Ovis aries: one gene and its partner. The protein of the gene in region 1 purifies or fractionates together with the protein of each later gene. This does not show direct contact. Links are inferred from orthologs where the notes say so. Each region holds a gene or a part of one and is shown on either strand. Other genes may lie near its edges. The genes, in order: MKI67 and interferon-activable protein 203.

Evidence for each region.
Region 2: the proteins of MKI67 (region 1) and interferon-activable protein 203 purify together in Homo sapiens (affinity purification with mass spectrometry; 3 studies listed by BioGRID and IntAct, with this or other methods). This does not show direct contact. The link is inferred for Ovis aries from reciprocal best matches to the Homo sapiens genes MKI67 and IFI16.

The regions. Positions count from the first base shown.
Region 1 is NC_056075.1:47,010,070-47,013,887, reverse strand, and holds part of MKI67 (proliferation marker protein Ki-67), read left to right. Parts: coding exon 1-983; intron 984-2,411; coding exon 2,412-2,587; intron 2,588-3,777; coding exon 3,778-3,818. UniProt on the Homo sapiens protein: Protein that associates with the surface of mitotic chromosomes and acts both as a chromosome repellent during early mitosis and chromosome attractant during late mitosis.
Region 2 is NC_056054.1:109,959,143-109,962,960, forward strand, and holds part of interferon-activable protein 203, read right to left. Parts: intron 3,137-3,818; coding exon 2,975-3,136; intron 1,490-2,974; coding exon 1,322-1,489; intron 1-1,321.

The DNA of each region.
Region 1 (3,818 bases):
AGACGATGTGGCCAGGAAAACACCCAGTCGTGTTCGTTCCTCAGAACTTCCTGGAGATACCCACAGAGGTGCGACGGATCCCACCACTGGGGACTCGAAAGAAGATCCCAGTGTAGCATCAGGGGCCTGTCGTGAAGAACCGAAGGCTCTTTCTTCCATACAGTATCTTAAAAGGAGTGACCAAAGTGAGTCTCCCTTTAGGAAGCTTTACGAGTCAATGAAAGTGGAGTTAGATGTGAACCCAGGAAAAGTCAGCGTTCTGCAGAATCGCAGAAAATCAGGACCGCAGCGTCACTGCACAACAGGCAGAGAAAGCACTGATGGGTTACAGCACGAGACTCTGGTCTCCCCCAAATCCAGATGGAAGTCGGGCCGAAGCCCCCACATGAAGGCAGACCCTGGTTTAGGGGAGCAAGGAAGTAGCCAGACTGAGGGAGAGGGGAGTGGGGAGCCGGTTCAGATGCCCAAGGAGCTCAAGAGTCCTGGCATCGCCTGCACGGAGACGGAGACAAGGAAAACCAGGACCCCCGTGCAGTGTTCACAGCAAACCACGATGCCCCTGCGGTGTTCACCACACAGCCCCTCCCGGAGGCGGCGGAGTGCAAACCCGGGTGCTGGCGGTGGCCATGTATCCCAGAGTCTAGACCAAAGTGAAGGCTCCAGGGCAGATGACCAGATGTTCACTCCCCAGAAGTCCTTGCCTGAAAATCAAACACCTGTTAAAGTTGGGAGTTTTGGAAATACACCAGAAAAGCTTTTCTCTAGAAAGAGGAAGAGTGTGCCTGCAAATGTTGACCGTCTGACTGCAGAAACTGAGATTCCACCTCCGATGATCTCAGCTTCACTGGCCCTGCAAGTTGAAAGGAAGATTCAGAGTGATCTTCTCAACAAGCCTGAGAAGCTGGGCCCAGCAACTGGACAAGTGGGCCCTGGGTTATCCGGCCTTGATGCAGCTGAAATCAGCAGCTTCGGTGATTCCACAAGTAAGTCTATTTAACTGTCCATTTATTTCCCCCCCAAAGTTTACACCTACCTTGTGTCTAGATGTGAATTAGCGGTCCCTTCCTTCATTCGCTAATGATTCGCTCTGTGAGACAATAAGGGACTATCATAAGAGCCGTATTCGTCATCATAGAGTTATGTGAAAGCCCTGGTAACCCACCAACCAGAGGAGGTGCTGGCTACTAGGGAAGAATTAGCAGGGGTCTAAGGAGATAGGGTGGCCCCAAAATATATTTGATTCTTGGGAGAATAAGCTTGAGCATAATTGCTTTTCATAGGAGTTCAGTTCTGAACTACAAGCTCTTATATCCTATAGGTTGAGCCTTTAGAATAAGCAGTGGAAATCTTGGAAATCTTTCCATGGGGGGTGGTTCCTAGAACACCCTTGGACCGCCTCCATGGGTTTATGTGCCAGGCGCTGCTGTGGGTGCCCTTCAGACAGTGGCTCCCCAGCCTCCGTGTTGGCATAGGTGGGCCAGTGGGACAGGTGTCGTATTCTCTTCCTTCTGCAAGTGGGGAAGCCACCTGATGGCATGCTGCAGGCAGCAGAGATGTGACCCGTGGGGCAGGCGATGCAGCTCAGGAGCCTCCCGCACTCCCAAGGGGACCCCAGGTGCTCAGAGGCTGTGCCCGGCTCACAGTCCTCAGGGGGTACCCCTGGGTGCTCAGAGGCTGTGACCAGCTCACAGTCCTCACGGGGACCCCCGGGTGCTCAGCGGCTGTGCCCAGCTCACAGTCCTCACGGGGACCACCTGGGTGCTCAGGCTGTGCCCGGCTGTCGGCTCTGCATCTGCAGAGAGCCTATGGGGTGGGGTGTGTGGTTCTGAAATCAGACTCACGTGCATGACTTCATGGTGTTCCCCATGAGTGTCGCAAATGGGGCATGTCGCTTAGACAAGGGTTTGTGTTGATGAGCAGTTCACAAAGGTGTGTAGTTGGGCCTGCCTGTCCAGATCTCTGGGAAAAGCTTCCAGCCCCTGGTTCCACTCACAGGCAGGTCTGGGTGAGGCCTGAGTGAGTCCCTTGGGAAAGCCTACTCAGTCCACTGCTGGAGCTCATCGCTGGCATCCCCCTGGTCCACAGTGGGGACCACTGATCAGGGAGCTCACTGCTGGCATCCCTCTGGTCCACAGTGGGGACCACTGATCAGCCACGCCCTTCTTAGGCTCTGTCCGCACAGGACTTGTCACCGTGTAAACAGAGTCCTTACATTATCGCGTTGGGCCTTGGCATTTTGTGGTTTGTCCTGGATCTTTCATTAGCTTCATCAGCATCAGGAGAGTATGAAGGTGGGGAGGTGCCAGGCCTCGGTGAACTTGAGGTAGGTTTGTCTTTAATGGTTAGTGGAAGCGGGTCGCACTCGGGGCGCGGTTTGCTTTGCACTCTGACACCTGTGCCCATTCCTCCAGATAAGATGGAGGGCGTGGCTGCGAAGAGGAGGCGGGTCTCCTTTGGGGGTTGCCTGAGACCCGAATTATTCGATGAAAACTTACCTCCCAACACACCTCTCAAAAGAGGAGAGACGCCAAAGCAAAGACGGTCACTGGCCGCCCACACGCCCACCGTCCTGAAGAAAATCATCAAGGTGAGGTTCCCCGCGGCCCTCCCCCTGGGGTCTGATGATGGCACACATCCTGGGTCCACACTCTTTCCAGGGGCTTCCCTGGTGGTTCAGCATAAAGGATCCGCCTGCAGTGCAGGAGACCTGGATTCGATCCCTGGGTCAGGAAGATCCCCTAGAGAAGGAACTGGTAACCCACTCCACCATTCTTGTCTGGGAAATCCCACGGACAGAGGAGCCTGGTGGGTTACAGTCCATGATGTTGCAAAGAGTTGGACACAACTGAAGTGACGAACACTTTTTTTTTTACTCTTTCCAAAACTCACACTAGTAGAATAACAGTGAAGACCTTCTTTCAAATAAAGTAAAAAGCATCAATGTCTCTGTGAGAACGCATTCCCAGAGGTGTTGGCAAATGGACCCCTGAGTTCTGAACCACAACCCAAGGGTGGCTGAGCACAGGTGGGTCCTCAGGACCTCCCTTCTCTGCAGAGGCAGCCTGCTGACCACACTTCTGGGCCAAGTGGTCACGCTCGGGTTATAGTTAAATACCATTTGGAAAGACAGAGCTGTAAGATTGTGTTCTTTCCCTTTTAGAACGACTAGGTGAAAGACAGAGCTTGGATGGCAGGCACACCATGGTTTTGACCATCAGCTCTTCAGAATTCTTCATCACTGACCCTTTAGGGGTGTGATCTTGTATATCTCTAGAGAGGTGTGCCCCCCAGCCCCCAGCTCCACTTCTCCAGAGGGCCTGGGTAGTCTGTAATTTCTTTTCATTTCAGTTAATTTTCTTTTCCTGTTGCTATAGGAGCATGAGGTATGTCTCCTTCCCACCTCTTTTGTATGAGCCCCGGAAATGGGCTGAACCCACCCTTCCGGTGGGTTTGGAACCCACGCTGACCCGAGGTGGTTAGACTCCCACGGAGGGTGTTTCCTTGGATATAGATCAGAGCCCCACTCATCAGGAAGTTCCTTCCACCTTTCCACTGGAAATGCCTCAGTTAAGACTTATTCAGTGCTTACTTTTCCCCCTTCTTTTTAAGTGAGAGACACAGACTCCTATCTCCACTGTACGCTTGACAGACACTAGTCGGAGCAGTCAGTGCTTTGAGATTTACACAACTAAAATTGTTGAGTGGGTAGGGTTTTCGCATTCATTACACAGATGTTATATTTGGGGTAAGGTTTCCTACACACATTCCAATTGCCAGGAGCAGCCCCAGCCATCAGGGAAAGAAGATTCTTCAGAAGT
Region 2 (3,818 bases), on another chromosome or scaffold:
TTGGGTGACAAGCTATTTTCGTGATTTAAATGTTGCTTTGGCCTATTTCTCCTGTCACTTGCTTATTTGCTGCAGGAATAGGTGTTGTACCCCAGCGTGATGGTAACCACAAGGGTCATATCAGGACAGAATAAAGGCAGGCGAGCATAGGAGTCGATGCACATGTGTGTGTGTCATTTTTCCACCCTGATCTGGTCTTATCCTGGGAATAGGGCACTATGAATGAAAAACGCTGCCTGCCATATCAGTAAACTGAGGATGTTGTGGCCATCAAGCCATCGCATTACAGCTGCCCACACTGTAAGCCCTGAGGGAACTCAGGATAGAAGCAAAATGCCCTCCAGCAAGCAGTCAACTGCTTCAGCCAATCCTGACGGCGCCCCCTCAGGAGACTCAGGGTAAGGATACTGGCCCCAGATAGCTGAACTTTATAGCAAAGGGTCTGTGAGCCCAGATCTTTGCATCTTTCTGTATATAAAAATGTGTTAAATTTTAACTTGAGACATCAGGTTCTCTTTAAAAACAGTAACATTTTGATGTTCTGACTGCCTGGTCCTTGTTAACAAGATTCCTGTATAACCTGCCTCCCCTTCTTGCTTCTTCAGAGCAGCTCTCTCAGAGCTACCTGAGAATCTGTGTCCCCATCTTAAGTCCTCATATTTGTCTGCTGAATAAAGCATAATTCTTAACTTTTAGGTTGTGGATTTTTTCAGTTGACAGGCACCTTATAATTTATATTATAGTTCAGTAACAAAGAAAAATGTACATTTATTATAGTTTCAGTAAGTGCTAAAAAAGGGAAAGTAAACTGACCTTTGAAAGCAAGCAAGAGGAATACCTAATATATTCTGAGAGTGGGCAGGTATCAGTGGGGACTTGCCCTAGGAAGAGATTAAAGTTTGCAACTCAAGACAAGTAATTTCAAACATGAAAAGTGTCTATGTCAAAATATCAGACCTGAGAAGGAGCACCGGACTTTGAAAATGAACCCTGCCATGTGGTCAGTGAGCAAATGGGAAGAGGGCCAAAGGAAAGTGGAATGTATGAAGTAAAGACACACTCATTTTGACTTGTTTTGTCACCTTTCCCTCCTCTTTCTATTCAATACAAGAGAGTAAACCTCTCAAAATTGGAGGTTTCATGAACTCATGCTTTGGTAAACAGCCAAATTAACAAGGAGTTAGAATAGAATGGGATCACAGATTAAACACTGATAAATGAAGGGGTAAGTATAATAAATGACTAAATGGGAAGTTCAATGATGATAATTCTTGTACTTCTCTTGTAAGAAGTGCAAGGAATGGGATCAAAAAGCCGGTACCTTGCTTGAGAAATTGCTGAATGGTTTTGGTAGAACAATTGGAGTCATCTGGCCACTGCTCACAGTTGGGCACAAGCTGGTTGCTGAAGTTCCTGGAAGCTGACTCTGGTTACAAGATATCATCTTCCTTTTTAAGTCCTTAGGTGTGGTGGCTGTGTCACTTTTTTTCTGGATAAAAATAGATTTTTTTCTTAGTTCTTGAAAATGATTTTCAAAATCACACAGAATATAGCATCTTTTCTCTTTCTCAATGTTGAATCTGAACTTTTCAATTTTTTCTGGACTGATAGCACATATTCCAATACCTGTATTACTTATCCTTTACCTACCTCAACTATGATTACAGATTTCACTCTCCAAATACTAACAGCTCAGACAAAATTTCATTGATTTGGGGATGGAATCTGGGTCCTACATCTGATGCAAACTGGCCAAAGCAAGTAGATAAACTTCCCTGGCTATAAGAGAAGTAAATCTCAGTCTAAAGTTGGCTGCACTTAAGGATGTCTGTTAACTACGACTTTTTCATCAAGAAAAGACACAAGTGGGTTTCTAGTATCTATTCTATAGGCTTCTACAAACCTACTGATCTTCTGAGAAATATTACTGGGAAAAATATGGACTCTTGTGACTAATAAGAACAATGACAACAACCACAACAAAACCACAAATTTAAAGTCCCCTTATGTAGGAGTTCTGTCTTCAAGTGGAATGTGCGGGGTGGTGGTGAGGATATAGCCTGAGTTAGAGGGCAGCTTGGGTCTTGGGTAAGAAACTGGGTTAGAGATTGTGGTTTAAATCTTGCCTTTGCCTACCCTTGACACTTATCTTGGGGGAATCTTTTCCTGCCCATTCATCTTAGACACATACTCCATAGTTCCAGGTTTCATGTAACCCAGGGCAAAATAAAAACCAGGTTGGGATAGAGGTTGATGCCTACAACTGTGGACTCACTTTCCCACCCCTGTCTTGTATTCTCTTTTGATAGAGCACCTATACTCCAAGATCATTGTCTAGAAGAGAAGAAAAACAAATTTATTAAAGTTGTGATACACACTATACAGGAATAGTAAAGGATTCTGTAACGGCGATAAAAAATGAGACTATCTATAAGTTTTGGGGAGGGGTGTCTCAGTGAGGACATGCTGAGGAAGGAATTCAGGCTGGTACCTGATGGTTGAATTAATTTAGCCATTAAAGCAACATGAATCATGAGTGTGAATCAAGGAATTAGCCTATGAGCAAATACCTGACATAGGAAGGAGCATAGAATGCTGAGAACTAATCTAGAGGTGTGGTTAAGAGAAAAGGGATGAAAGGAAACCGAAATGTTGGGGATAAACATACCCTTATGTTCCTGTCTAATTGCCTGGCCACCTCCATAGGCCTGTCACATTTGTAAGGTCAGCAATTATTCGTAAATGTAAAAATGTCCAAAAGTCCAAGGACTTAGAACACACTAAGACCTCAACACTTTTTTAATTCATTTATTTAATTTGCCTCAATATTTTATTTGATAAGTTTTGGGGTGATTTGATTGCATAAAGAAGTTTGTATCTAGAAAGGGAATACTGAGAGATTTTTTTCGGGGTCATGAGTATTCTTATAATATGTTGTAAGGAGGGACACGTATTAGGAACAGGAAAATGGTACCTTGGTTAAGGAACTGCTGGATGGCTTTGGTGAAGGCATTTGAGGAGTCTGGAGAAGGCCCTTAGTTGACTCTGTGCTCGTTACTGATGATCCTGGAAGCTGACTCTCCTCCTTGGTTAGCTTCATCCTCTTAGATTCACTAGTTTCGGTGGTTTTCTTTCTCTGAAAAGTAGGATTTCCCCTGCCTGGTTAGTAGTTTTCAATGAGAAATGAAATACATCTTCACTACTTAGAAAATCAACTTTTTATTACTAGATTCTAATTATACTCATTCTAGTTAATCTCATTCTCTGTTGCTCACTTCTCCTGTCCTCAGTCTTTCTCAGCATCGGGGTCTTTTCCAAAGAGTCAGCTCTTTGCATCAGGTAGCCAAAGTACTGGAGCTTCAGCTTTAGCATCAGTCCTTCCAATTAATTTTCAGGGTTGACTTCATTTAAGATCGACTAGTTTGACCTCTTTGCTGTCCAAGGGACTCTCAAAAGTCTTCTTCAGCACCACAATTTCAAAGCATCAGTCCTTCAGCACTCAGACATCTTTGTGGTCCAACTCTCACATCTGTATATGACTACTGGAAAAACCATAGGTTTGACCTTTGTCAGCAAAGTGATGTCTTGGCTTTTTAATATGCTATCTGGGTTTGTCATAGCTTTTCTTCCAAGGAGCAACCATCTTTTAATTTCATGGTTGTGGTCACCATCCACAGTGACTTCGGAGCCCAAGAAAATAAAGTCTGCCACTGTTTCCACTTTTTCCCCATCTATTTCCCATGAAGTGATGGGACAGGATGCCATAATCTTCATTTTCTGAATGTTGAGTTTTAAGCCAGCTTTTTCACTCTCCTCTT